Linked DNA regions of Macaca fascicularis. The protein of the gene in region 1 interacts with the protein of each later gene in a pairwise test. Links are inferred from orthologs where the notes say so. Each region holds a gene or a part of one and is shown on either strand. Other genes may lie near its edges. The genes, in order: TEX11, ZNF414, PPP1R18, CCDC198, DUSP21, HYI and NEFL.

What was found.
Region 2: the proteins of TEX11 (region 1) and ZNF414 interact in binary tests that used the Homo sapiens proteins (3 or more experiments, as listed by UniProt). The two-hybrid records come from large-scale screens. The link is inferred for Macaca fascicularis from reciprocal best matches to the Homo sapiens genes TEX11 and ZNF414.
Region 3: the proteins of TEX11 (region 1) and PPP1R18 interact in binary tests that used the Homo sapiens proteins (3 or more experiments, as listed by UniProt). The two-hybrid records come from large-scale screens. The link is inferred for Macaca fascicularis from reciprocal best matches to the Homo sapiens genes TEX11 and PPP1R18.
Region 4: the proteins of TEX11 (region 1) and CCDC198 interact in binary tests that used the Homo sapiens proteins (3 or more experiments, as listed by UniProt). The two-hybrid records come from large-scale screens. The link is inferred for Macaca fascicularis from reciprocal best matches to the Homo sapiens genes TEX11 and CCDC198.
Region 5: the proteins of TEX11 (region 1) and DUSP21 interact in binary tests that used the Homo sapiens proteins (3 or more experiments, as listed by UniProt). The two-hybrid records come from large-scale screens. The link is inferred for Macaca fascicularis from reciprocal best matches to the Homo sapiens genes TEX11 and DUSP21.
Region 6: the proteins of TEX11 (region 1) and HYI interact in binary tests that used the Homo sapiens proteins (3 or more experiments, as listed by UniProt). The two-hybrid records come from large-scale screens. The link is inferred for Macaca fascicularis from reciprocal best matches to the Homo sapiens genes TEX11 and HYI.
Region 7: the proteins of TEX11 (region 1) and NEFL interact in a two-hybrid assay, tested with the Homo sapiens proteins (2 studies listed by BioGRID and IntAct). The two-hybrid records come from large-scale screens. The link is inferred for Macaca fascicularis from reciprocal best matches to the Homo sapiens genes TEX11 and NEFL.

The regions. Positions count from the first base shown.
Region 1 is NC_088395.1:77,572,374-77,576,510, reverse strand, and holds the start of TEX11 (testis-expressed protein 11), read left to right. Parts: upstream 1-1,337; 5' UTR 1,338-1,442; coding exon 1,443-1,466; intron 1,467-4,137. UniProt on the Homo sapiens protein: Regulator of crossing-over during meiosis. Involved in initiation and/or maintenance of chromosome synapsis and formation of crossovers.
Region 2 is NC_088393.1:9,204,934-9,209,040, forward strand, and holds the start of ZNF414 (zinc finger protein 414), read right to left. Parts: upstream 2,801-4,107; 5' UTR 2,678-2,800; coding exon 2,675-2,677; intron 1,976-2,674; coding exon 1,663-1,975; intron 1,348-1,662; coding exon 1,240-1,347; intron 1,130-1,239; coding exon 1,024-1,129; intron 599-1,023; coding exon 255-598; intron 175-254; coding exon 124-174; intron 25-123; exon of another isoform or gene 1-24. UniProt on the Homo sapiens protein: May be involved in transcriptional regulation.
Region 3 is NC_088378.1:141,971,609-141,975,108, forward strand, and holds part of PPP1R18 (phostensin), read left to right. Parts: coding exon 1-462; intron 463-3,500.
Region 4 is NC_088381.1:125,322,274-125,326,456, reverse strand, and holds the start of CCDC198 (factor associated with metabolism and energy), read left to right. Parts: upstream 1-1,383; 5' UTR 1,384-1,525; coding exon 1,526-1,748; intron 1,749-4,183. UniProt on the Homo sapiens protein: May be involved in tuning the metabolism, energy expenditure, and excretion processes.
Region 5 is NC_088395.1:44,903,829-44,908,000, forward strand, and holds the start of DUSP21 (dual specificity protein phosphatase 21), read left to right. Parts: upstream 1-1,372; 5' UTR 1,373-2,282; coding exon 2,283-2,852; 3' UTR 2,853-4,172. UniProt on the Homo sapiens protein: Protein phosphatase component of the sperm flagellar doublet microtubules. May act as a regulator of sperm motility by mediating dephosphorylation of sperm doublet microtubule proteins.
Region 6 is NC_088375.1:191,320,929-191,325,123, reverse strand, and holds HYI (putative hydroxypyruvate isomerase), read right to left. Parts: upstream 2,801-4,195; 5' UTR 2,745-2,800; coding exon 2,347-2,744; exon of another isoform or gene 1,981-2,346; coding exon of another isoform or gene 1,934-1,980; intron 1,277-1,933; coding exon 1,162-1,276; intron 1,004-1,161; exon of another isoform or gene 971-1,003; coding exon 892-970; intron 804-891; coding exon 754-803; intron 670-753; coding exon 600-669; intron 497-599; coding exon 362-496; intron 265-361; coding exon 152-264; 3' UTR 112-151; downstream 1-111. UniProt on the Homo sapiens protein: Catalyzes the reversible isomerization between hydroxypyruvate and 2-hydroxy-3-oxopropanoate (also termed tartronate semialdehyde).
Region 7 is NC_088382.1:28,137,965-28,142,158, reverse strand, and holds the start of NEFL (neurofilament light polypeptide), read left to right. Parts: upstream 1-1,394; 5' UTR 1,395-1,491; coding exon 1,492-2,535; intron 2,536-3,709; coding exon 3,710-3,834; intron 3,835-4,194. UniProt on the Homo sapiens protein: Neurofilaments usually contain three intermediate filament proteins: NEFL, NEFM, and NEFH which are involved in the maintenance of neuronal caliber.

The DNA.
Region 1 (4,137 bases):
TTATGTCACATGAGTTTGAAAAAATTTTTTTGATAATATGAAAGGCATCAATTGAGATTCTACATCATGCTTATTGTTTAGTTTTAGGGTTTTTTTTTTTTTTTTTTTTTTTTTTTTTGAGACACAGTCTTGCTCTGTTGTCCAGGCTGGAATTCAGTGGCACGATCTGAGCTAACTACAACCTCAACCTCCAGGCTCAAACAATTCTTATGCCTCAGCCACCCCAGTAGCTGGGATTACAGGCGAGCACATCACACCCAGCTAATTTTTGTATTTTTAATAGAGATGGGGTTTTGCCATGTTGACTAGGCTGGTCTCGAATTCCTGGTCTGAAGTGATCCGCCTGCCTCAGCCTCCCAACGTGCTGGGATTACAAGCATGAGCCACTGCGCCTGACCTAGTTTTAGTGTTTTTTTTTGTTTGTTTTTGTTTTTTGTTTTTTTTAAATGGTGTCTTGCTATGTTGCCCAGCCTGTTTCAAACTCCTGGGCTCAAGGGATCCTCCTGCCACAGCCACCTGAGTAGTTGGTACTACAGGCGTGGAACATTGTGCACAGCTAATGCTTGGGTTTTAAGGAATTCCATGGCCTAGTAAGATTCAGCTATGTGGAGTCTGGAGCTGAGACCATTTAGAAAATGGTGACATCATTTGTGCAGATTCAATAGCTGGTTAATGTTGTTGCTAATTGAGCATGTCATTTTTTTTTTTTCTCACAAAGTAAGGTCAAGACTTCAGAGCCAGCAGTTTGCTATGTCTGTCTAATGCTTGAAAATATTAATAAGTTTTTCAGTTTTACAGGGCACATATCCAGATCTTTCAGATTTTCTACATTTTCTAGTTTTGAAGACACTGTTAAGTTCAGTTTTGTAGGGTTTTTTTTGTTTGTTTTAGAGAAAGGGTCTCACTCTGTAGCCCTTGCTGGATGGAGTACAGTGGCAGGATCATAGCTCACCGTATTCTTGAACTCCTGGACTCAAGTGATCCTCCCAACTCAGCCTTTGGACTAGCTAGGACTAAAGATGTGTGCCACCATGCTTGGCCTGTTTTGTACTTTTAATATTACCTAATAACTTTACTATTAGTGAAGTCAATGCATTTTCCTTTCTGAGAATGAATAATGATTAAGTTATAAACAAGTGACTCCCAAAGAATGCAAATTTTATTTGAAAATTATACTCTTGCTTAAATAAACTTTAAATCTCCAGTTTGGTTTTACTCTAAGGATCAAGTTCCTTCATGCTATATTCATTTGGCCAATGATTTAGGAATAGGTTTAAAAATGATTTGCTACTTTTAGCCAATGGTAATAGTTCACAGCACATTTATCATCCATTGTTATTTCAGAAGTTGTTGAAAACCTGGTTGCAAGTGATAATTCACCTAACATACCAGAGGCAATTGATAGACTCTTCAGAGACATAGCAAATATCAACAGGGAGTCTATGGCTGAAATAACAGACGCTCAGGTTAGTATAAAAATAATTCTGTTTATGACAAGTTTTGATAATTCTTCATTTTAACCAATGTATTATATAGATAAAAAAGTAGTCTTAACCCTTGCTAAACATATAAAAATCTATTTTTGGATGTTCACACCTAATTTAGGGGAAAAAAATTTTAGAAACCAATGGAAAAATATGTGCTCAAGTTTAAACATTTATTATTTATTAGTAATGTTATATATTATTAATATTTATTAACCTCTCCAGGCTTCAGTTTTCTCATCTGTTAAATGATAATAGTAATACCCACCTCTAAGTGTTGTTGTGAATAGTAAACAAAATAACATACATAAGGTCCTGGGCACACACGAGTTCTCTTTTCCTTCCCTTTGCAGCAAAGTAGTGGAGCCACCCAGTAGTGGAGAACTCAGTTGACTATAAGCCTTCAGAAGTGCTTTTTTGGGGGGTAATTTTCTAATGTTTAAATGAAGGTCTGTTACTTACTTAATATGGAAATTGTCTTGAGGCTTGAAACACTTTTGAGAACATTTACCTTGGGCAAATACTTGCATTTTGGTGATTACTTATATGGAAAGGTGAGAAGAAAGTTTATTGTAAATCTCTCTTCCTCTTTATATATATATGTATCTATATATGTATGTATGTGTTTATGTATATATAAATACCTTTATTTAGATATAATTTACATACCATGCAATTCACCCATTTCAAGTATGCAATTCAATAGTTTTTAGTATTTCCCAGAGTTGTTGTGCACCTATCACCACGGTTAGTTAATTTTAGAATATTTTCACCACCTCAAAAAGAAACCACGCCCATTCACAAACACTCTCCATTTCCTCCCATCCCCTTCCCTCCCTCACCCTCAGCCCTAGGTAACCGCTAATCTACTTTTGGTCTCTATGGTTTTGCCTAATGAGGACATTTTATGTAAATAAAATCATACAATGTGTGGTTTACTGACTGCTTTCACTTAGCCCCATGTTTTCAAAGTTCATCCATGTTGTTGCATGTATTTGTACTTCATACATTTTTATGACTGAATAATATCCCATTGTATGGCTATACCATATTTTGTTTGTGCATTCATCTATTGATGAACGTTTTCATTGCTTCCACCTTTTGGCTATTATGAATAATCCTGCTATAAATACTCATGTACAGATTTTTATGTTTTTATTTTTCTTAGGTTTGTACCTAAGAATGAAATTGCTGGGCCATGTGATAACTCTAAACTTTTGATGAACTACCAGATTGTTTTCCAAAATGGCTGTACCATTTTACATTCCCACTAGCAGTATAAGAGGGATCCAGTTGGTGGTGACTCATGCCTGTAATCCCAGCACTTTGGGAGGCCAAGGCAGGCGGATCACGAGGCCAGGAGATCAAGACCATCCTGGCTAACACCGTGAAACCCCGTCTCTACTAAAAATACAAAAATTAGCTGGGTGTGGTGGCGGGTGCCTGTAGTTCCAGCTACTCGGGAGGTTGAGGCAGGAGAATGGTGTGAACCCGGGAGGTGGAGCTTGCAGTGAGCCGAGATCACACCACAGAACTCCAGCCTGGGCGAGAGAGCGAGACTCCGTCTCAAAAAAAAAAAAAAAAAAAAAGAGGGATAGAGGGATCCAGTTTTTCCACCTCCTTGCTGACATTTTTCATTATTTGTCTTTTTGGTTATAGTCATTTTAGTGGGTTTGAAGTGTTATCTTATCTCGTTGTGTTTTTTATTGTGGTAAAACACACATAACATACAATTTACTGTCTTAATCATTTTTAGGTGTATAGTTCCCTTGTGTTAAGTATGTTCACATTGTGCAGCCATTCTCCAGAACCCTTTTCATCTTGCAAAACTGAAACTCTGTACTCATTAAGCAACTCCCCCTTGCCCTCTAAAATTCTTTTTTTTTTTTTTTTTTTTTGAGACGGAGTCTTGCTCTGTCACCCAGGCTGGAGTGCAGTGGCCGGATCTCAGCTCACTGCAAGCTCCTCCTCTCGGGTTCACGCCATTCTCCTGCCTCAGCCTCCCAAGTAGCTGGGACTACAGGCACCCGCCACTTCGCCCGGCTAGTTTTTTGTATTTTTTAGTAGAGACGGGGTTTCACCGTGTTAGCCAGGATGGTCTCGATCTCCTGACCTCATGATCCGCCCGTCTCGGCCTCCCAAAGTGCTGGGATTACAGGCTTGAGCCACCGTGCCCGGCCTAAAATTCTTATGAATTTTGAGATCAGCTTGTCAACCACCATTCTACTTTCTGTCTCTATAAATTTGACTACTCTCAGTACCTCATGTAAGTGGAATCATATAATAATTGTCTTTTTGTGACTGGTTTATTTCTCTTAGTATAATGTCTTCCAGGTTCATCCGTGTTGCAGCATGTGTCAGAATTTTCTTCCTTTTTAAGACTGAATAATCCATTGTATGTGTATACCACATTTTGTTTATCCATTCATTTGTTGATGGACACTTGGGTTGCATCTACCTTTTGCCTATTGTGAATAATGTTGCTATGAGCATTGGTATGGAAATTTCTGATCAAGTCCCTGCATTCAATTCTTTTGGATATACACCCAGAATTGGAATTGCTGTATCATACGACAATTCTGTTTTTAATTTTTCGAGCAACCGCCATACTGTTTTCCATAGCAACTATAGCATTTTACATTTCTATTAATAG
Region 2 (4,107 bases), on another chromosome or scaffold:
CGGGACGGTGGCATTTGTGGCCCCCTGGGAAAGGGATAGGCACTGTTCCCTCCTGGTATCCACCGGACCCCGCAGGGCGCAGGAAAGCCCCTCCACCCCTCCCTGGTGGTCACCTGCACGCACCTGAGGGCGCGCCGGAGCCGCCCTGGGGTCTTCGGGGGCTGCTGCCAGCACCTGCGGTAAAGGGGCGGGTCAAGTTCAGAGTCGGGGCGAGGCCAGCTCACCCTCCTGGTGACCCCCACCCCCATACTCACCTTGGCTCTTTTTCCAGACGGCGGCGCTGGAAGCCGGCGGCCCGGGTGCAGCGGCCAGGAAGGGGCACAGGCGCGGGGGGCTTAGGCCAAAGGGCGCAGGGATCAAGTAGGGCACGAACGGTCCGGTGGCGGCAGGGGCGGGGGTCGTGAAAGGTTCCAGCAGCGGGAACGGCAGGCCCGGCGCTGACGCGAGGTCAACCTCCGGGGGACGCTCGGGCGCGGGCGGCTCTCGGTCGAGGGCCGGGGGTGGTGGCGGGGCTGGGCTCTGCGCATTCTCCACGCAAACATGTAGATGCTTGAAGAGCGAGCGGTGCGTGCGGAAGCGCAGGAGGCAGTTCTCACACCTGGGGGTGGGCAGAGGGCTGGGCTGGGCCTCCAGGGAGACCAGAGAGAGGGTTCTGTGCAATGCCACCCGCCCTTCGAGTGTGGGAACGGAGCCTGGGCACCAATCGCCTCCCCGCTCCCGTACAAGCGTGGCAGCGACCCTTCCTGACCACTACAGGTGCTGGTTTCCTGGGGAAACCCGGAAAGAAGTCTCAATTTTAAGTTAGGAGGCCGGTTTTCCACTTGGGAGGCAACGCCTCGCGGGGTGGAGCCACCCCCACTTATGCCCCGCCCCATCCAGCGATGTAGGGGCGGGGCTTCCCCCAAAAGGCCACCCACATCAAATCCCGCCCTCCAACACCCTGACCAGGAAGGGAGGAAGGCCTGGAGCCCACACACAGGGTGAGGCTAGGGCAGGGCGGAGCTCAAGAGGTCAGGGTCTCACTTGAAGTAGCGATTGGGCTTGTAGTGCAGTTTGCTGTGAGCCACCAGCTCCTGCATGCTGGGGAAGGTCTCGGTGCAGCTCAGGGCTGAGCAGCGGAAGAGCTTGCCTGGTAAGGATGAAGACAGAGGAGTGGAAAGGGGTGGTCAAGGCTGGCTCCGAGGGGCTCCACCTGTTTCCCACCCTAACCTGCCTCCCCATTACCGGTCCTGGCCCTACCTTCCAGGGACTGTGTGGGCGGACAGTGGGTTCGAAGATGCTGTGCCAGGTCACGGACGCTGGGAAAACTGAGGGAGCAGCCAGGGCTGGAGCAAGGGATTTGCTTCCCTGCAGGACGCACAGAACAGGGGTCACTGGTCCCTTCCTCACTAGTGCTGTCCCTGACCCCAGGGCTCTGCCCCAGAGAAGCAAATATGATGCTGGGGCCTCTACTCTCTGCCTACCACAACAAACTGATCTGCCACAGTGCAGGGGCTGGATTGGCCACGCTCACCATTGGAGCCACAGCCTGGCATCCACTGGCAGCACAGTAAAATGATGAGTGGCATCCCTCTAGAAAGGCCCTTAGGTTAGAGATTCTCTACTTCTTGCTTCTATTGTTCCAGGGCCCGTGACTCCCCAGAAGGTCCCATCACAGATCACCTGGAGGTGGGCGTCGTCTGGGAGGCCGCAGGTCCTCGCTGGTCCCGGAGACTATGCTGGTCGGGCCAGGGCTGGGTCCGGGGCCAGGCTGGCAGCTGTCTGGGGCTGGGGAGGAGCCCTGCTGCATCCCTCCAAGCCCTCCACGTTCCCACACTGGTGGTGTGGCTGCCTGCTCAGGGCCCGGCTCCTCCGCCATGGAGGAGGAGGTGGCGGCAGATGGCACAGCCGGGGACAACAACTCCTTGTCGGTCTCACTGGAGCTGGGCTCTGCAGTGGCCGGCATGTCTGGGCTGGGTCCTGAGGGTTTCTCCTCCTGGTGGAAGAGGCAGAGATAACCCTTCTGGGCTCTGGGTCAACCCAGTCAGCCCCCATCCTAAGGAATCACCAGCAGGAGAGGATAGGGGAATACGTAAGGTTGGACTAAGCTCCTTTTTCCTTTTTATAAAGATGGGGGTTTCGCCATGTCCCCCTCGCTGGTCTTGAACCCTTGGTCTTAAGTGATCCTCCTGCCTCAGCGTCCCAAAGTGCTGGGATTAAAGGCGTCAGCCACTGCACTGGCCCAGATTGAGCTTCTTATGTACATGGGAGAAGCATCTCCTCAACTAGGATAAGTGGGAGCCCCAGTATGCGACACAAGCGTGGCCTACAGGGAGTGGGCGGGGCCAAGAATACGGAGGCGGGGCTATGGGCAGAGAGCGACTGGGAAGATGCTAGAGGAGCTACACACGGATTGTCTGAGGACCGAGAAACACTGGCCAGCTGCGAGCCGTGTGGACAATCTTGGAGGTGCTAGGAACCCGGATGTAATAAGTTTTGGGGCGGAGTCCTAGCCTGGTGGGCGTGGTCCATTCCGGGCCCGGCCGGGAAGTAGGGCGCTCTCCGAGTGACAGCCAGCGGCAGACGGGTGCCCGGATGTGGGGGCTGGGTCGGCCGGAGGATGTATGCGCGACAGGGCCGCTTCCCGCCACTCCCCGCCGCTCCGCCGCGCCCGCGACCCCGGTGCCGCGCTCACCATCTTCGACACGGCTCGGCCTCTTGTTCCTGCGGCTTCGGCGGCTCCAGCTTAGGCGGCGGCCACCCTCTGGGCAATGCGAGCTCGCGCTCACGTCAGCGCCATTTTCCGTCTCTCGGCTCTCGCGAGGTTGGAGGCGGGGCCTGCGCAAGGCGTTCGGATAGGGGGCGGGGCCTGAGGGCAGAGTGAACGTGGAGTGCAACTTGGACGCTGTTGGAGTCTTGCTATCCCAGGGTAATCAGAGCGCACTTCAGGCGACTCCGTGAACAGAGGTCCGGGTTCAAAATGGGCACCTTCATCCCCTCTAGTCTTGTCCCAATATCAGCCCTGGACAGGCGATAAACAGCAGTTCTTATTTTATTTATTTATTTTTTGAGACGGAGTTTCGCTCTTGCTGCCCAGGCTGGAGTGTAATGGCACGATCTCGGCTCACTGCAACCTCCGCTTCCCGGGCTCAAGCGATTCTCCTGCCTCAGCCTCCCAAGTGGCTGGGATTACAGGCGCCCACCACCACGTCTGGCTAATATTTTGTATTTTTAGTAGAGACGGGGTTTCACCATGTTGTCCAGGCTGGTCGTGAATTCCTGACCTCAGGTGATCTGCCCGCCTCGGCCTCCCAAAGTACTGGGATTACAGGCGTGAGCCACCGCGCCCGGCCAGTTCTTCTTTATTTTTTATAGTGTTGAGACAGGGTCTTGCACTGTCGCCCAGACTGGAGCGCAGTGATGCGATCATAGCTCGCTACAGCCTTGACCTCCTGGGCTCAGCCGATCCTCCCATCTCAGCCTCCCGAGTAGCTGGGATGACTGGCGTGCGCCACCGTGCCCAGCTACTTATTACATTCTTTTTAGAGGCAGGATCTCTCTGTGTTGCCCAGGACGGTCCTGGGCTCAAACGATCCTCCCGCCTCGGCCTCCCAAGTGTTAGGATTGCAGGCGTGAGCCACCTCGCCTCCCCTTTCACTCACATTTTAAAATGGGTAAACAGCATCGCTTGAGCCAGGGAGGTCGAGGCTGCAGTGAGCGTGATGGCACCACTGCACTCCTGCCTGGTCGAAAAAGCAAGACCCCATCTCTAAAAGTGAAATAAAAATAAATTAAAATGGGGAAATAGTAAATCAACAAGTGCAAAAACAATCTTTTGTCCTATTCAGTGCAATGAAGGAAACAATGAAATGTGGAAGTGATGGGTCAGGGAAGCCACTCTGAGGAGGTGACTTCGGAGCTGTCTCCAGATGATCGAGGAGTGAGCTGGTGGAAAGCCCGAGGAGCGGGGGCTTTACCGGATAGCTGGTGCAGATGTCCTGGAGTGGGGTGGGACGGGCTTATTTTGGTCAAAGAGCAGCGAGGAGATGAGAGCACCACTGGAGCAGAGTGGAGCGGGGGTATGGAGGTCAGAAAGTGAATATGGTGCACGGCAGGTCATGCAGGGCC
Region 3 (3,500 bases), on another chromosome or scaffold:
GGAGCTCAGGGCAGGCCTCTGAGAGCCCTGCAAAACTGCTGCTCTGTGCCCTCCCCCCTCCCACCAGAGGACGCTGGGACTGGAGGCCTGAGACAGCAGGAAGAGGAAGCAGTGGAACTCCAGCCCCCACCACCAGCCCCTCTGTCTCCCCCACCCCCAGCCCCAACTGCCCCCCAACCTCCTGGGGATCCCCTCATGAGCCGCCTGTTCTATGGGGTGAAGGCAGGGCCAGGGGTGGGGGCCCCCCGCCGCAGTGGACACACCTTCACCGTCAACCCCCGGCGGTCTGTGCCCCCTACGACCCCAGCCACCCCAACCTCTCCAGCCACAGCTGATGCTGCAGTCCCAGGAGCTGGGAAGAAGCGGTACCCAACTGCCGAGGAGATCTTGGTTCTGGGGGGCTACCTCCGTCTCAGCCGCAGCTGCCTTGCCAAGGGGTCCCCCGAAAGACACCACAAACAGGTAGGGAAGCAGCCAAGCCAGACTTCTTAGAAGCCCACTTGTCAATTCTCTTTGGACTCTGGTCTTTATTTCTTTTTTATACCCCTGTTTTCTTGTCTTCCTCTCTTCTTTCTTGTTAATTCCTGCCACCACCCTTCCTCGCTCTGCACATACACCCTTCCTTCTCAGAGCCCTCCTGTTCCATTTTGAGCCCAAAAGATCCTGCCCCAGCAAAGGCCGTCTCTGGGTGTGTCTCTTTCAGGGTGTGCCCGGCTGCTCATTCTCCCTTCCCTTGGGCTCTGAATTTTCAGCCCCCTTTTCTTTCCTTCCTTTCCTGAGTGTGACCCGCCCCAGCCCATCCAGTGGGAAAGCCCAAACTGACAAGCTTGAATCAGTGAGGGCAGCGTCACGAGGGTGAAAGCACTTGCAGTTTTTCTGCGGAGAAGGGATAGGGAGCCTGGGGTGGCGGAGGGGGTGCGTTTGTGTTCTAGGGAGAAACTGTAGGGAGAAGTGAATGGAGGAAGGTCCAACTGCCCCATGGGAAAGAGGGCAGAGCTGAATAGGGACATCTTAGGATGGAGGGGAGAGGGGAGATGGAACTGGGCCGGCCAAAGAGCAGAGAGAAGGCTTTTGAACCCTGAGTCTGCCCCATGGGAGAGACACAGAGAGGCCATTTGAAGTGGGTGACCTCGGGGTTGCACACCCCCAGCTGGGCCACTGCTTCAGACAGTGCTCCCTTCTCTCTTGGGACAAGAAAAGCCTTCTCCTCTTCCAAAATACTCCCGCCCCTCACTCCCCCGTCCTTCCTCCCTGGGTTTCCCCTCCCTCCCAAGAACTGGCTTAGGGTTCGGTTTTCCCCTCTCTTCCTGCCATCCTGGACTCTCCCTCCCCTTAGGGTAGTGAAAGAGAGAAGTGAATTTGGAGACAGTTTTGAGAGCAGGCACTGGCCAGGGAGCACAGTGGGAGTTCTGGATAGGGGTCGGGGCTGAGGCCAGCAGAGGGTCAGAGGTTAGACTTGCAACAAAGACCTGCAGGAAAGTGGGGGCAGCTAGGCTAACTCCCCCTGGCCCTGGCCTCATTTCTTCCCTGTGCACGCCCACCTGTTTCCAGCTTGAAAATCTCTGGCGAGAGAGAGGTCCCACCTCAGACATCTCAGACTTAGGAAGTCCCTCCAGTCACACACATCTCCCCAGAGCCTGGGATGCCCAGTCTCATTCTCATCCCCTGTGTTAACATCCTCAGATTTGATTTTTTTGTGTCCTCAGTGTCAGTGGGGAACCACAGGGACTAAAGATATGGGTTAAGCCTGGGGTGGAGGGGGGTTCATTTGATTGCCCAATTCATCTTCACATGAAGCGTAAGTTCACACCCCTGAGCCATGGTGCTTGGGAACCTACCCTCAGCCCTCTGACTGCTACCATCCTGTTCCCCTCAGGGCTGGGCAGATGAAAAAAACAGAAGTCCGGAAATGCTACCCGGGTGAGGTGTTCAGAAAAGTCACTTCCTACTGAGAGAGGCTTGTGCCTCTGGGGAAGAATGAGCAGAGGGAAGCATGAAGCTTTGGGGCCCAAAGCCCAGGGAGCATCCCAGGGGAGCCAGGAAGCAAGTGCAGCGCAGGACCCATGCTGGTGACCATACCTAGGCCAGAGAGCAGGGGAGCCGGAAGCAGATCGCCCAAACAGGAAGCCTGGGGTGGAGGCCGGAAGGCTGGTGGGGCTAAGTGGGGAACCCTGGGCTCTGGGCCTGCCAGAGCTGTGCTCAGGATGTGGTGAGAGAATAAGGAAGCAGCCACTGCTTGGGTGGGGGTGGGGAAGAGGCAGCACAGAGTTCTTCTGACCCAGATGCCTCACCCTCCACCCTCTCCCCACTCTCAGCACCCTGCTCTTCAGGGACTGGGTGCCTTGTCCCAGCTCTGCTGCAACACACTGGCTCAGGAATAGGAGATAGGAGGACCCTGCCACCAACCCCCGCTTCACCTTCCCTAAATAACTCGTTTGCAGGCTAAGTCCATCAAACTTATCCCTGCCATCAGGAGAGAAATCCCAGCCCTGCCACTGGAGCCCAGGGGATGGCTGTGGCTGGTGCCCTACCCCAGAGGCCTCCTGGGCTGAGAGACCAGCCCTATTGTGACCTTATATAGCTGATGGGAGAGGAGCAAGTGAGTCACCCTCTCTCTACCCGCCCCCCCACTCCCATGCAGGCTGTGCATTCCTGAGAAGTCCAGTCAGAAGCTGGTGGGGGGTGAGGAGAGAGGCAGGGTAGGGGGGAGATACAAACATAGACCGAGAACAAATAAAATAAGTCCTTTTTCAGAATAGATAATAAAGTACAGAGGTTATTATTCCAAAAGAGGATATGAGAAGAAAACAAAAATGGGTTCCCAGAAATGTGGGTAAATCTGTCAGTAACAGAAACTAAGTGGTCGCTTCTGAGAACTTGGGATATAAGCAGTCTGGCTGCTATAACTAGATTGTACCAGCAGTTCCACAGACATGAACTGGGGGGTCAAATATGTATAGGCTGGACCACCCCCAGATTGTTTCCCCAGCATTGGTCCTCTGATGGCACCTCATCTGAGGTTTGAACAAACTCTAAACTCTTGCACTGTAGCAACTTTCAAGCTCCTTTTTTCTTTTCTTTTTTTTTTTTTTTTTTTTCTGAGACAGTCTTGCTGTCTCCCAGCCTGGAGTTCAATGGTGAGATTTCGGCCCACTACAACCTCCACCTTCTGGCTTCAAGTGATTCTCCATCCTCAGCCTCCTGAATATCTGGAACTACAGGCGCACACCACCAAGCCCAGCTAATTTTAGTATTTTTAGTAGAGACGGGGTTTCACCATGTTGGCCAGGCTGGTCTCAAACTCCTGACCTCAAGTGATCCCCCTGTCTTGGCCTCCCAAAGTGCTGGGATTACAGGTGTGAGCCACTTCACCCGGCCCCAAGCTTCTTTCAACAGCAGACACGAGTATAATAAATTAGTAAATTATCTAGGAAGTTAGAAGGTGGTGAGTGACTATGAAAAAAAAAAAAAAGAACAGTGGAACTTAGAGGGTCAGGAAG
Region 4 (4,183 bases), on another chromosome or scaffold:
TCTGCCCTTAGAAATAATTAAACTGATTGTACCCCAAAATAAATCTTACTAGACCTTGTTCAAGTATTTTTATCCTTGTAATTAAACTAGTCTGTTTACCAAAAGTTGTTTTGTTTGCAGATACTGTTAATATATTAGTCTTTACTTATAAATCTCTCTGCTGCAGAGAAAATGATGTGGAAAATGCAAAGAGAATAAGGAAAAAACTAAATTCAGGCATCTTTTTAGATAAATGTGATTGTCTACCAAGACTTTCCAAACACCACCTTAGTCCCTTAGGAAATGGATTCTGCAAAGATGAAAAATACATTTTCTTTTAATTTCTCTATGGAGATGTGATGAACACACAAGTAATCTGTGGTCATGAACAATTAGAGCTTGAAAGTTAGTCCCACTTCTAAGTATAAAGAATAAAATAAAAATCACCCATAATCCCACCATTCAAAAATCACTACTCAATATTTCAGCATATTTCCTTCTAGTCTTTTTTCTACTTTAAAAATCATAATAGGCCGGGCACTGTGGCTCATGCATGTAATCCCAACACTTTGGGAGGCCAACACAGGTGGATCACTTGAGATCAGGAGTTTGAGACCAACTTGGCCAACATGGTGAAACCCCTTCTCTATTAAAAATACAAAAATTAGATGGGTGTGGTGGTAGTAGGTGCCCATAATCCCAGCTACTTGGGTGGCTGACTCAGGAGAATCACTTGAACTGGAGAGGCAGAGGTTGTGGTGAGCCAAGATCATACCACTGCACTCCAGCTTGGGTGACAGAGTGAGACTCTGTCTCAAAAATAAATAAATGAATTTAATTAAATTTAAAAACATAGTAAATAGGCTATCTTTTTATGTTTAAGAAGTTTTTCCCCTCATCCCCAGGAAAAAAGTTTCTATTATCCTCCTGTCCTGCAATGTATTCATCCCCTTCAAAGGCAACTCAAGTCATCAACAGAAAAATCAAATGACGCTTTAGCCACTCCGCTGCTTTCTTTCCTACTTGGAGGATAAATTCTTCAATTAAATTAAAGATTAACAACGCCTTGGTAATTAGCATGCATCCTCTTAGTTGCAAAGATGGCTTAGCTATTCTCAGCTGTTAGTTTTTTTACAAAGGTGCTTGCAGTGAAAGCGTCAAGTTTAAGACTTCTCTAAACCTCTGCTCTACATCTCTCTCTGTGTTAATAATCTTCCTGGTGTTAGATATTTGTTTAATGATCAATAGTGGCTTCTATTCCTATCACTGAGTATTTCAGAAAGCAGCATAACCAAGTCAATGTTTAACTGGATTCTTTGGGTCTGAAATGGCAAAGTTGAAGGGAAGTCTCCATGGAAACCAGCCTCCCAGGAAGTGGCCAAAAGGGTTAGTGTGCAGTGAAACAGAGCTAGAAGGATGCCATGAAGGAAATGACTGCTTTGTAAAGCCAGGGTAAACTTCTGAAATGCCTTGATTAAAACAAGCTATATTAAAGACCCCAAAACCACTTTCCTCGCAGCTTTCCTCTGAATGTCTTTCACATGAAATGGGCCTGAGTCACTCTAAGACTCACCCGAGGGTGATCAAAGTAGCACCTTTGCAAAACAAAGAGGTAGAGACTCCCTCAGCTGGCCCTGTGGACTTTGCATTCAATCAGAATTTGGAAGAAAAGACTTCACATTCACTGGCAAGACTGCAGGACCAGAATAAAGCCTTGGAAGGGCAGCTGCCACCTTTACAAGAAAACTGGTATGGAAGATACTATGCAGGTAAACATAAAACCCAGCATGAGATGTGTGTATCTGGACCAAGGAGCATTATTAATAGATTTATCTGACTGTCTCCATGATCTCAGAAAGTTTCTAAATTACTGAAATGTAGAGGAATTTAGGCTATCTTTGAAAACTCAAATCTTTCAAAGAGGATTGAATGTCAATTGAAAGTATTCTGGGTGCATTAGAATGGGAGTATAAACTGTACAAAGGGCTTTTCACCATTCCATATGAGAAGGATAAATCATTTTGTTTCAGCTCAGTTTGTAATGCTTTCAATATTTATACCTAGCTTTGACAGACCATTAAAATTATATAGATACTAATGTGATAAATGATAGCAATCGCATTTCAGTTAAATTCTAAATTTAAATCATTCTCTCCAGTATAGTTTTATGCACCGGGCTTTGTGGTTTTGAAAGCAGCACTTTAAGAGTGAGTTAATTCTAACATGAATTTTGAAACCACCCTAAACAGAATTGATTTATTACAGTACATTGGAGTGGATGAGTCACCCTTTTCCCAACCCCACATTCTTCATGGTCATCTGCAGAACTAACAGAATTCTTTCCCATTATGATTGGAAGCTCTGAGCCTGAAGTGGCTATAAATTATCCTGGAATATTTTATAAGCCATGTAAAATGTTTTATCATGACCACAATGATAATTAAACAGACATCTTCACTTAGAAAAATATATGTTTATTTTATATATATATATATGCATATGTATATTGTTTTCCCTTTCCTTCACCTTCTGGATCAATAACACAAATAAGTTTCCCTTATTGGATGCCTCATTCAGAAAGCCTCACATTCTCTTTTGGTACCTAGCAAATCTTGCCTGGAATGATTTTTCATGTCTACTGTCTGCAGAATTGATAACCTTTGGTTGTTTCTATATGGCCTATTTTTATGTTCTTTATGGTCTTCAAGTTCTTAAGCACATAGATGGGAATTTTCCCCTTAGGAAATTTTTTATGACAGACGAATAGGTGACAAGACACGATTTAAAAAATGGAGCGTGAGTGTGCACTAAGAGTATGCAATGCTCCTACTGAGGAATTCCCTTTTTATCCAAATCCCCATTGAGAGTTTTAAGATTTTGGTGATAGAGAGAGACTCTGTTTCAAAAAAAAAAGATTTAGGTAACTGAATAAATGGTGAAAGCTGATTCATGTGCTTTAGAGTCCCAACTGGAAAACATGCTTATGTCTGAAGTGACAAAATCACATTGAAAATAAATAACAAGGAGATCATGAGGATTCTCATGACGATCTCCCATATTCTCACCGCAGCTCCATCAAATACCAAATCGAACGACCTTGGGCAAGTTACTTCATCAATTTTTTTCACTTGTAATCAGGGGTAAAAATAAATGCCTGACACAGCCTATGCCATTTGAGGAGAATCTAATTAAATAATGGACTAACATCACTAAAATAAAAAAATAAGGATTAGTAAGATTTCTGAAAAAATAGCTGAAAATACTTACATTTTTAAATCCAATATGTTTGTTGTTTCCATCCTGCTCAATATGCTGGCATCTTTTCAAAAGAAAATAAGGACATAGTTTGCATACCACTAAAAGTCAGAGAGAACAAAGTCCTTAAAGCGGTCATTCACATGTCTTAAAGAGAAAGATGCATAATTATCCATGGATTTTTCCATTTAAAATGCAAAGTGGGACTGTAAAATACTCTGTGAAACAATCTAGAAATCAGAATGTGTCCAGATTATTAAAAGGGAAAGACAAGAACTGCACTCATGCAGCGTTGGTCATGGTAGCACTCCCAAGAGCTCAGGATAATCAAGCTGGAAAATAAAATCCATAATGGATCTGTTGAGCCTCTCTGTTTCCTAATAGAGGCTTAACTCTGTATCCCTGGCTTGTTTCATCAGGAAAGAATATTGATATGCTGTATTATAGTGGCAATCTGTGGAAATTTTTTTCACTAAAGGGGCTATTGAATTGTGTTCACACATACTCCATTTCTGTCTCATCTCTGTATAATCACCTATCTATCTATCTATCATCTATTTCATCTAAGAAGATTATTTTCATTTTTTAAAGTTATATATTTTTCTGATGTCTTATATTTCGGTGAGGAGATTTTATGGAATTAAAACAAGTCAATAAATTTCTATTTTCCAGGCCAAATTCTGTTTGAAAAATATTTGCAGTCAACATATTGGTAATTTTGTAATTCTTCCCCTAAATATGAACCTGAGTAGGAAGTTAGGAGAGCAGATATTAAATCCCAAGTCTAGACTAAAACAGTGTCATTTGCACTAATGTAGGTTCCCTGCTTTCTGTGTTTCATCTCCACATTCAACCTACAGGTTAGACATATATAACTGGAAAGGTACAAAATTGTGTTGATAAAGTCTAGTAACTAATGATTACCTGATCTAATAGTAAATTATATTTA
Region 5 (4,172 bases), about 33 Mb from region 1:
TTTCTTCACTAAATAACAAGGAAAATTGCCTCCATCAGTGTGCTTAAAAAAAAAGAGGAAAAGTAGAGACAAGTGAGATCTGAAAGTGACCTGCTTCCAAACTCAAGGGGAGAAAATGTTATCTATCCAGGAAAAGCTCCATAGTGGACTTTTAAAACATCCAACATCCCTCAGACTAATAGGTGTCACAGAATATGAAGAATAAATAAATGAATATATTTAATACGGGTCATGCTTGTCTTTGAAAATAGTGTCTGTGGCCGGGTGCGGTGGCTCATGCCTGTAATCCCTGCACTTTGGGAGGCTGAGGCAGGTGGATCACCTGAGGTCGGGAGTTTGAGACCAGCCTGGCCAACATGGTGAAACCCCGTCTCTACTAGAAATACAAAAAATTAGCTGGGCATGGTGGCGCGAGCCTGTAATCCCAGCTTCTCATGAGACGGAGGCAGGAGAATGGCTTGAACCTGGGAGGCGGAGGTTGTGGTGAGCCGAGATTGCACCACTGCACTCCAGCCTGGGCAACAAGAGCAAAACCCTGTCTCAAAAAAAAAAAAAAGAAAAGAAAATAGTGTCTGAAATTATTTTGTTAATTTTTCTATAGTTTTAAAGTTTAAGAAGTGTATACTTATGAAATAACTAGACACCAATACTAGTTTAGGGCCTCCACATTACTACATAGATTACAAAGCTTCTCCCTTAGCCAGGTTGAGCTGTCCCCAACAGACAGTTTTCATATTTATTTAGTATTTGTGTTCTATTTTCTTCCAGATAGATTTGTGGGGACTGACAATTTAAGTAATGCAAATTAATTTTATTATGACAACCGAGAAAAAGAAATATGTGTTGTGTTTTGAGGTTATCGTTTCCTTGACCATCATAAGCAGCCTGATATCTACTTCATCTTTGTTCATAATCACAGCACACCTTTGAACACATACCAAAATGATGATGGAATGAGAGCAAAGTATGTGAGTCAATTGGCTGCTCTGCGAAACAGTTTGTTAGTTTTAGGCTATAGTTCTTTTCAATTTTCAGCCAAATTCTATAAAAATCTTAGCTGGAAGGAAATGCAAATGTCAGGTTGCATTTTAGAAATTAATTTTTGGGCTGGGTGCGGTGGCTCTTGCATGTAATCCCAGCACTTTGGGAGGCCGAGGTGAGAGGATCACCTGAGGTCAGGAGTTTGAGACCAGCCTGGCCAACATGGTGAAATCCTGTCTCTACTAAAAATACAAAAATTAGTCGGGTGTGGTGGCGCACTCTTGTAATCCCAGCTGCTTGGTCGGCTGAGGCACAAGAATCACTTGAACTCAGGAGGCAGAGGCCTGGGCCTCTCCAGCCTGGATGACAGAGCAAGCCTGTCTCAATTTTTGGCCCAATTACCATGTAGCATTAACTTGTTCCAGAATGTGTAATATTACTGGGAAGACAGCATCGGTAGTGGTCAAAGTGATTTGTGGTTCACAAAGCATGTGGGCATTCTTTTTGAAGAAAGTAAACAAAATAATTTGAACTATTGTTTCAGTCATTTGAGCTGTATGTACAAACGGACTATGACACAGCTAAATTAGTCACAACTGTCCACCACAGGCCAACTTCAAGATAAAGGGTTATATATCAGTTAGCAATGCTCCCTTACAACCAGCCCTGATGTGTTTGTAAGCAGGAAAAAAATTTTATGGTTGCAATCAACAAAGAAATATCAGGCCAGTCCACCAAGCCCAGCCAAATCCCATATCTCGCTCCAGTTTTATAGAGATTAGCGTATCACATGAGCCAAATGCTGTTCCCCAACTTAGAATGTGATGTTGCTATTTTGCAGGGAAAGTGTAAGCCCTGTTCTGCAACACTGATGAAATAGAAGTATTCATAAATACTGTGTTTAATGTGGTCCAATAATTGAAACATAAAATAGATATCTTGTAACAGAACATTTTTAAAAGTCAAGAAAGATAAGAATTAGGCCTTGGAAAATAAATGACTATGAAGAAAGATAAAAATAAAACAGACTGGGGTGTCTCTGAAGACCCTGCTTAGAGGCCTTGTCCTCCTTGCAGCAAGCGGCCATTGCCATGGAAACCACAGCCGCAGGGCTATCTGTCCGAGATTGTGACGCCCAGATGGGAGTGGTGGGAGGAGACAGGAAGAGGGTGGTGACCGATGGCCGGTCCTCTTTCTCCAACACCTAGCCTGAGACTTCGCGGCGCGGCTGCAATCCTGAACTAGCTTGGTAAGGGTTGTGCCCTGAACCAGCATAGAGAGACCTCGGACCAGCCGCCTTGATGACAGCATCCGCGTCCTTTTCATCATCTCAGGGTCTCCAACAGCCCTCCATCTACAGCTTCTCCCAAATAACCAGCAGCTTGTTTCTCAGCAATGGTGTAGCTGCCAACAACAAAATCCTTCTGTCCAGCAATCGCATCACCGCCATTGTCAATGCCTCGGTGGAAGTGGTCAATGTGTTCTTTGAGGGCATTCAGTACGTAAAGGTGCCTGTTACCGATGCTCGTGACTCTCGTCTCTGCGACTTTTTTGACCCCATTGCTGATCTTATCCACAGCGTGGATATGAGGCAGGGCCGCACGCTGCTGCACTGCGTGGCTGGAGTGAGCCGTTCCGCCTCACTGTGCCTTGCGTACCTCATGAAATACCACTCCATGTCGCTGCTGGACGCCCATGCATGGACCAAGTCGCGCCGCCCCATCATCCGGCCCAACAACGGCTTTTGGGAACAGCTCATCAATTACGAATTCAAGCTGTTTAGTAACAACACCGTGCGCATGATCAACTCGCCGGTAGGTGACATCCCTGACATCTATGAGAAGGACATACTTGCAGTGATATCAATGTAAGCCATCCCGGCCAGCCCTTGACATCTGCCATCGATCTGGCACCAAGACTGAACTTGAACACTGACATTTTGTTAGTAAAGAAAACCGGTTGGTGCCTTGTTAAGGGGCAAGAAAAAAAGGGAGGGGGTTGGAGTTTTGAATGTAGTAAGCCTTACCTTAATAGAATTAAATTCACGAAATGTAAGATGGTGAAAATGTTTTTTATCTTGTGAGGTCAAGCTATTGGGGCCTGGCTGGAACCAGGGTGCGGCAAGTGATGCTCAGCTCACATAGACCTGCCAGCAGCACCCAATACATGTGGCAGGCCTGGAATTCTGAGCCCTGCCGGAGGCCGACTAACTCAGGAGTGAATCCCCTAGAATCTCACCTGGTTCTTTCCAAACCAAAGTCAAAGCCTTAGACATCTTGGCATCCCTTGCACTTCTCCCGGTAAGTGCCAACCTAGTGGATAAGTGACTTTCATTCAAGCTTTGCTCCAGGAGCTCTGGAGGAGGCTCAGGCTACCCTTGCCCGCCTTCAATCACAGTGGCCCATCTCTGGTTTTCTAGATTGAATTTATACATTAGTTTAAAAAAAAAAAAAAAAAACTAGTTTTTTAAAAGACCATTCCACTCCATAAAGTTTAAAAATACTGTACTTTTTGAGTGCTATACTTGATGGCAAGGTCTCAAGGTGTCTTTGGTGATCTCCCACCAGCCTTTGTGAAAAGGGACATTAGTCCTTTTCCCAGGGCATATACTGAGAGAGAACAGGCCTGACACCAGGTCTCAGGGGTTCCTCTCATGAACCTTGGCTTAAGAGGCTGGAGCTGCTGGCCATGACCCAACCCTGTCACCTCTAACATCTCCTTTCATTGTGACCTGGGTCCCCTCAAAGCTTCACTTTCCTCACCTGTCAAAGCAACTCTCTCCCATAGAGTTGTTGTGAGGACTGGGTTCCTTAGCACAGTACCTGGCACATGAATGGTTTCATGCTTGGAGTAAAGGGCAATGATACTCTTTGACCCTGGTTTGAGGTCAGCACACTCATCCTCATAATGGCATTTCCCCCTTCTGTGCACAGTCCTTTGTTGTTTACAAAATGCTCTTCCAAAAAATCATCAAGTGTCTAAAAACAAATGGCTGAAGGTCCTTTTGGACCTTACCTTAGAATGGGCCTAGATTCGGGCATGGTGGCTGGCACCTGTAGTCCCAGCTATTCGGGAGGCTGAGGTAAGAGAAGCACTCGAGCCCGGGAGGTGGAGGTTGCAGGGAGCCAAGATTGAACCATTGCACTCCAGCCTTGGGTGACAGAGTGAGACTCTGTATCGAAAAAGAAAAA
Region 6 (4,195 bases), on another chromosome or scaffold:
ACCTCCACAGCAACCCTGGCACTGGCTTCTCAATGGGAGGGAAGCAACAGAGAAACTGAAGTGTTAGACACTATGTGTCCCCCCACCCCATAACAGAGACATAAGACAATGTTCAGCGGGTCATCTTTAATGCAGAGGAGGAGATGGGATCTCACTCGCTGTCTGGAGGCATGTGGGTGGTGTGCAGGCCCTCACTGGCCACCTCGGGGTGGCCCCGCCTATCCCAGTATGAACGTAGCCAACTCAAGCCCTCTACTGTGTCTCCTGTAGGGAGAGGGAGGCCTGGGCATCTCAGCCCACAAGGAGAAAACATCCCCTGTCCAGTCCCTCCAGAGCTCCCTTCCCCAGGGCCACCCCTCACCTCGAGGCTGATACTCGCAGCCCACAAAGCCTTTGTAGCCTTCATCTTCCAGCAGTTGAAACAGATAGGGGAAATTCAGCTCTCCGGGGCTGCTGGGCTCCCCTCGGCCTGGGACCTGTGCCACCTGCACATGCCCTGGGGACAGATGTGGACAAATGTGGGGTCCAGGCTCCTGCCAGGGCCTGAAGAACAGATGTGGGGATTGAAAGGGTGGGAGGGCACAGGAAGCTCCTCTCACCAACAATGGGCAGGAACTCCTGGATGTTTCCTGTCAGGTTCCCATCCATGATCTGCCAGTGGAATATGTCCTGGGGAAGAGGATACTACAGTCCAAGACCCCGCAGGCCCCACCCTCCTTCCGGTCTTCAAAGTACCCCCTTTCTTCCACTTACCATTTGTAATTGGAGGTTGGGTCTTCCCACCTTCTGTAAGATGGCTGCCGCTGTAAGAGAAGCCAGGGAGGGGGCCGTGAGCCTCGAGAAGAGCACAGGAATCAAAAGGGACAGAAGGAGACAGGGCTGGGGTCATACCCTGCTGGGGCGTGTCCAGGAAGTACTGGGGGTCAGTGATGCGGGTATTGATGGGCTCCAGCAGTCCCACGAGGTCCGCCTAGCAGCATGTCGGGTGCTGTGAATAGAGCTCCTTCCCAAGTTCGTCCCCCATCAGTCAGTCACTGGTCAAGGCCCTCACCTGTCCCTCTGACCTAGGCTGGCAGCCTCACGTGCTGTCCCCACTGTGCACCCCCTCCTCCGCACACCCACAAAGACATGTAAGTACATGTGTGTTTCCACCTTTCTCACCTCAGCCAAAACCCCAGCTGCATGCCTCAGGTTCTCCAGAAAAACGATCTCCATCTCAGCTTTGACTGCTATTCGATCAGCTCCCTGGGGTACTCGGCCAGCCATCAGGTGGATCCTGTGAGGAAGATGGATTGGAGGCCTTGCCTCCCTTGGCTCTCTGCACCTCTTCCAGGATTCCCTGACACTGCTGGCCCTTGCCTGTCTCCCCAGGTCTCCAGTCCATGGCACCTGAGCCACGATGCCTAGGCATCCCAGCGCTTTTCAGAGACACTTCAGTAACGGCCGAGGGGAAGCCCTTTCCCAGACACCTCAGCGTCCACCCACCGCCCCCTGCCTCCAGTACTTTCTACCTTTCCTTCCCTCGGTCCTTCTCCTCAACCTATAACCTGCTAAATTCTCACCTTTAAAAATTATCCTGACCCTTGCTTGCCCTTCTCAGGTATTCCGTGCTGCTGTCTCTACTTCCTCTCCTTGCATCTACTACTTAGACTCTTCCCATCTTTTTTCTGCCCCCACCATTGACCAATAGTGATCCCCTCTTGCTAGTACCTTCTGAGCCTGTTTGGCCTCTGCAGGATTTGACATTTGATCAGCCCCATTTGAGCCGTCCACCTCCTCCCATCATCCCCTGATCTTATCAGCCACATCCAGCTCTGAACAGACATTCCAGACCTCCCCACCCCAACAGGCTACATATATGTACAGCCTTAGGAACACTGCTGAACACACCAGGCTGCCTCTTGCCACAGCACCCTTGCCGGGAATACTTTACCTTCTGCCCATCAAGCAATGCCCACTCCTTGAAGACAGTCCAAGCATCACTACCTGTAAGCAGCTTTCTCTGATCCAGACAGGGTTAGGTGCCTACCCCTGCTCCCACAGCTTCCTGGAATAGGGCTGTCCTCAAATGGATCACTGCATATATTTACTCTCCTATCTTCCTAGGCAGACTGAGCTCCCAGCATGGGATGCCAGCATGGGGTGAGCATAAAAGAGTGGCAAACAGACTGGCACAGGACAGATAAAATACAAAAGGCAATTTACAAAGGACCAGGACCGCAGAGGCGGAGATAGGCCAGTGGCCTCAGACTCCTGAGCGTCTCAGACCTCAGGTCCTCGACTACCTGAACCTGAGGCAGGGTCATGGGTCACAGAGGGGTGGGGCTTGGGGTGGAGGCGGGGTACCTGGGACAGCCCAGGGCCTTGGCGTATCGCACGGCCTGCTCCAGCCCCTCTCGGAAGGCCTCCTGTCTCCCGGGGACGGCCCCCAGCCCCATTTCCCCCTTCTCTTGGTCTCCTGCAGAGAGAACGGGCCTCAGCCCCCGACTCGGGCACTCCCCTGCCCGCGCCCCGTCCCCCACCAGTCTCCCGGCCCGCGGCGCACCCGGGGGCGTGTTGATCAGCACAAGCCGCAGCCCCGCTTCTCGCGCGGCGCGCGCCAGCGCCTCAGGCGGCTCCGCGTACGGCCAGGCCACCTCGACGGCCTCGAAACCCGAGCTGCCCGCGGCCCGCAGCCGCGCGGGGAGGCCGGGGAGCTCGGGGAACAGCCAGGACAGATTGGCGGAGAAGCGCAGCGGCGCCATGCCTGGGGAGGCCGGGCCGGGCAGAGTCCGAAGGCTCCAAAGGCGGCGGGCGGGGCGGGGCTCTCCTTGCTGGCCCTGCGAACAAACGTGCACTCTTCCGGGTTAGAAAAGCGAAGTGCTGTAAAAATCCGGGCCTTCGCGAAAAGCGCCTTCCGTGAGCGAGAAAGGGAGCGCGGGGAGAGGCGAAGAGGCGGGGCGAGGGCGGCCGGAAAAGGAGCGGGGCCCGCGCCGGGAGAAGCTGGGGAGGCCGGGCTCCCGGACCTGAAAGCCGGACGCGGGGCCAGAGAGAGCTGGCTGCCCGAGGGCCAGGTTGCAATGATGGGACGTGCACTTTAATACTGAGTCTTTCCTCTGTTTATAAAAATGCTATCTGTTCGTTAAGCAACATTTGAAAGCTGTATAACCAAATAAAGAAGCACTTTTATACCACCAGTTATCACACCACTAGCCTGTTAGCTTTCCCGTCCAAATTTTAAAATATGCAGTTTTTTTCTTTGGAAATTGTGATCTTTCGGTATATGCGGTTTTATAGCCCTTTTTCATGGAATATTATTTTGTGAGCATTTCCTCGTGTTTTCCAATAGCCTTCAAAATCTGTGCCTTCGCTGCTCATTGTTGCACACCTAAGCAGCAAGTCATTTATTGTACTTTGTGGTTGGATATTGTGTGTGTGCGCGCGCGCTGCAAGCGCACTTTCATGCTCTTCTTAGTCCCTATCTCTGACTCTTTTTCAAGTCTTTTTCTAGAGATGTCCATCACAGTGTTGGCCCGTTCACGCCGTTTGTCTTTTGCAAGGGAAACGGCACCATTGAGCAGCTATGGGTGAGCTGTCCTCTCTTAGCCTTAGCCTCAGCTGATTGGACCAGGGAGGTCATCTGATCCCAGGACAGCCAATCCATAGACTGGTCAAAGACCTCTTACTTGCGTGGTTTGGAAAGATAAGATAACCAATCAAGAGTTCAAACAAAGAAATGCTGAGAGTCAACAGGTGGTGTTGCCAGAAGGTGACTGGGCTGTAGAAACGACATAAGACAGAGTCCTATGGTAAAGAAAAGCTAGAGCGGAAAGGAGGGGAACCAAGTCCTGTGAATAGAGGTAGCACACTGGGAAGCCCATGTCGTCCCAGGGGTGCCCAAACCCATAGCTGCCCCCAGGTCTGTGCACTTAAGGCTGGGATGCTTAGACTTTCCTGGGTTTCTTTGTCTGTATAGCATCTTAATGTTTCTTGAGATAATTTGAATGATTTTACTTTCATCTACAATAACCCACCTGATTGGGCAGGTTCTTAGGGGTAGAATTACATGGTCAAAAATAGGAACATATCTAAGTTATTGATGTCTTAAATTTCCTTTGAAAAATATAAATCTATATCCCAACAGTTCATGAGTAAACGTCATCTTGATCTATCGTCTGTGCTAACTTTGACAGAAAAGCTGAAAGTGCAACATTAG
Region 7 (4,194 bases), on another chromosome or scaffold:
GCGATATACAAACAAAACAAAAACTAAATGCTTGCTTAGATAAATCTTAGGTGTTTCCCATAAATCTCTGCAATCCCTCCATGAAACCCGGGGGACTCCTAACATCACGCATGTGAAAATGCCCTGCAAACCGCATGGCTGTATCCACGTGCGCTACAGCGTGCACCAGTTTCAGGTATCTGGGTGCTTCCTGAAGGAAATCCATGCAATCCTGACTGCATCTGTTTTCGGGTTATTACAGTGTATCGGGGGAAGAATCACGCGGCTATAGCTATTTTCTATCTGTTCCTGAAGAAGCCTGGGTGCGGAGCTCTCCTCCCCTGAGACCACACCCGGCGCTCAGGGCTGGCCGCAGCGGCTTCCCTGAAAATCAGCCACCTGCAAGGCTTGTCGAAATCATCAGGTTGTGAGCTACACATGTGTAAAAAGACGGAAGCGGACTTTAAACGTGCTGCGGTTGGTGGAAGCAAGCAGGAATTTAGCTTGGTGAGGATCCAGGCACATTGAAGCTCCCCGCCGCGGAGCGCGCGGCTGCCTCAGCAAGTCAGTCTCCGTGTTAGCTTCCAACTCTTTCTCTGCCCTCCGCCACCCACACACTGCAACACGATAAAAGCATCCGCGGCTTCATTCCCAGTTAAGAAATGTGAAAATCTAGAAACACCAAGAGGCGGATTAACTGCTCTAAAGGTTTAGAAATGCTAAACCAACACCTGCCGTAGTGCCGCAGTTTCACGAGTGTGTGTGTGTGCGCGCGCCCGCGCGCACTCGCGCTCACATTCCCTATGTGTTGAGAAGCAGAGCATTAAAGAAAAAGAAAAATAATCAGGAGAAAGAAAATGAATTGCAGAAAGTGCCAGAAAACTGGAAAGAAATTAAAAGTTCTTCATACATACTGCATACACACAACCTAGCCTATTTATTTGTATGTAAAATCCCCTAGCAGCACTATCACCATATACACCAAGGGGAATAATTAAGGAGGTCCCTGGTGGGAAAAGGGAGAGTTGGGGGGACAGGGTGTGTGCGAGGTGCCGGGATACCGAAAACTCGGGTGTCAAAAGGGAGCAAGAACCTGTTTTGGGGACACTTAAGGATCCAAGTGTCACGGGGTTTGGGCGATGTAGGAAGGGAGGGGCTGCGTGGGCGGGCACAGAAGGGAAAAGAGTAAGGGGGCATGGGATCTCTGAGAAAATCAGGGGCCTCTGAGCAAAGTGGAAAGGACGAGCGCCGCAGCTACCCTGGCCGTAGCTCGCCCCCGCCTTCCCTTTTGCGCAGAATCCTTGCCTTGGTTGCAGCAGCGCGCTGCCCCCACTGGCCGGCGCGCAGTGATCGATCGCAGGCTGCGTCAGGAGCCTCCCGGCGTATAAATAGGGGTGGCAGGACGGCGCCTAGCCGCACACAGCCATCCATCCTCCCACTTCCCTCTCTCCCCTGTCCTCTCTCTCCGGGCTCCCACCGCCGCCGCGGGCCGGGGAGCCACCGGCAGCCACCATGAGTTCCTTCAGCTACGAGCCGTACTACTCGACCTCCTACAAGCGGCGCTACGTGGAGACGCCCCGGGTGCACATCTCCAGCGTGCGCAGCGGCTACAGCACCGCGCGCTCCGCTTACTCCAGCTACTCGGCGCCGGTGTCTTCCTCGCTGTCCGTGCGCCGCAGCTACTCGTCCAGCTCTGGATCGTTGATGCCCAGCCTGGAGAACCTCGACCTGAGCCAGGTAGCCGCCATCAGCAACGACCTCAAGTCGATCCGCACGCAGGAGAAGGCGCAGCTCCAGGACCTCAATGACCGCTTCGCCAGCTTCATCGAGCGCGTACACGAGCTGGAGCAGCAGAACAAGGTCCTGGAAGCCGAGCTGCTGGTGCTGCGCCAGAAGCACTCCGAGCCATCCCGCTTCCGGGCGCTGTACGAGCAGGAGATCCGCGACCTGCGCCTGGCGGCGGAAGATGCTACCAACGAGAAGCAGGCGCTCCAGGGCGAGCGCGAAGGGCTGGAAGAGACCCTGCGCAACCTGCAGGCACGCTATGAAGAGGAGGTGCTGAGCCGCGAGGACGCCGAGGGCCGGCTGATGGAAGCGCGCAAAGGCGCCGACGAGGCGGCACTCGCTCGCGCCGAGCTCGAAAAGCGCATCGACAGCTTGATGGACGAAATCGCTTTTCTGAAGAAAGTGCACGAAGAGGAGATCGCCGAGCTGCAGGCGCAGATCCAGTACGCGCAGATCTCCGTGGAGATGGACGTGTCCAAGCCCGACCTCTCCGCTGCGCTCAAGGACATCCGCGCGCAGTACGAGAAGCTGGCCGCCAAGAACATGCAGAATGCTGAGGAGTGGTTCAAGAGCCGCTTCACCGTGCTGACCGAGAGCGCAGCCAAGAACACTGACGCCGTGCGAGCAGCCAAGGACGAGGTGTCCGAGAGCCGTCGTCTGCTCAAGGCCAAGACCCTGGAGATCGAAGCATGCCGGGGCATGAACGAAGCGCTGGAGAAGCAGCTGCAGGAGCTGGAGGACAAGCAGAACGCCGACATCAGCGCTATGCAGGTGAGGCACCCGCCCGAAACACAAGGGGGCGGAGGACTCGAGCAACGGGGAGAGTTGGTGGGCCCAGAAAGTGGAGACTAGGGGTGGTGCGGCTGCATGCAGCTCTTAGGGATAGGGCTTGGCTCCTTGGCCACTGTGTGGGAGGGGTGGGGCACTTGGAGGGCGTCAGTGAGGGCGCGACTGTAGTCTGGGAGTGTGCTCGGTGCTGCTGCACCCGAGTTCCGCATTAAAGCTGCCCGGCCCCTGTTGGGTGGGGGAGGGGAAGACATGGGAATTGGGCGTTGCCTCCGGCCTGCAGTGAGATCTGCTGTCTACTGACCTGCATTAACTACAAGTTACTTTGCAGCAACTATGGGATCATCTGGTTAATAAATACTAGAGTGAACAACTCTCAATTAATTCTGAAAGATTACTGTGACCGGCATGCTTTATGACTAGTTTTACCAACCACTCCCTTCCTTTATTTAGTAGGTAGACAGGAAAATAGTCAACATTGTTTTAGGTAGTTAACTAGTGATATTCATAGTAAAGCATTTCTTTAACTTTTTTTTTAATGTGTAAAATCTTCTACAACATTTCTGTTTAAACATCTCCATCTTCTGGGGAGTAGAAAAAATAAATTTTTAAAAAGATGTCCATTTTGAAAGATCTCCATCTTCTGGGGAGTAGACATTTTTTTCTTCTTTTGGGAGTAGAAATTTTTTTCTTTTTCTGGGAGTAGAAAAAATAATTTAGATACATAGGAAATATTTTAGAATTTTTTTTTTTTTTTTTTTTTTAACATCTGGCTATTTTCTTCTCCTATAAAGAAAGGCGTTAGTTTCCTGGCATGTAACCCAGCTAAAGAATAGTTAATCAGTGAATGAGAAACGCAGTTTTTCCATCAACTTAGTTTGTTTGCAGGCATTTTATGATGATCATTAAACAGTATTAAGTAAAGAAATAGAAGAACAGAATTTTCTTCTATCTTTTTTTTCATCTCAGGCTTCATGAACTTGGGTATTTTAGGCAAGAAGGTTTTTAAAAACATACAGGAAGTTATTCTAGGGGAGATTTTATCACCTTGTGTGCACCTTGATTTTAATCGAAACTAGGCCTTTGCAACTATACTACAGTAAAATAGAAGGGATTTATGCTTGGATTTTTTTTTTTTTAATTTTTTGTCTTCAAACAGGACACGATCAACAAATTAGAAAATGAATTGAGGACCACAAAGAGTGAAATGGCACGATACCTAAAAGAATATCAAGACCTCCTCAACGTGAAGATGGCTTTGGATATTGAGATTGCAGCTTACAGGTGAAAACAGAGGGGCAAAGATAGCAGCCATTAAACCTTAGGAAGAAAATCAGATCCCATTTAAAGTTATGTTGGATCAGAAACCTTCAAGAATAGTCCTATTGAAATAATGAAGTGTTAGTTTTTGGCTTCTTCCAAGAAGGTATTTAGATATATAAGAATTTAACCCTGTAATGAGGAGTCCTGTTTTTAGCTTCTCATTACATTTTAAATCAAATAGGATGACTTAATTTTTTTTTTCTGGTCTCCATCAAAAAAATCCCCAGGCATTAAGTTTTGGTAAATCCCAACCCTGCTCCTGCTTGCCTTTGTCTTTACGGTGCTCAGAGCAAGTCGTGAAACACAGGTTTTTGTTTTTTT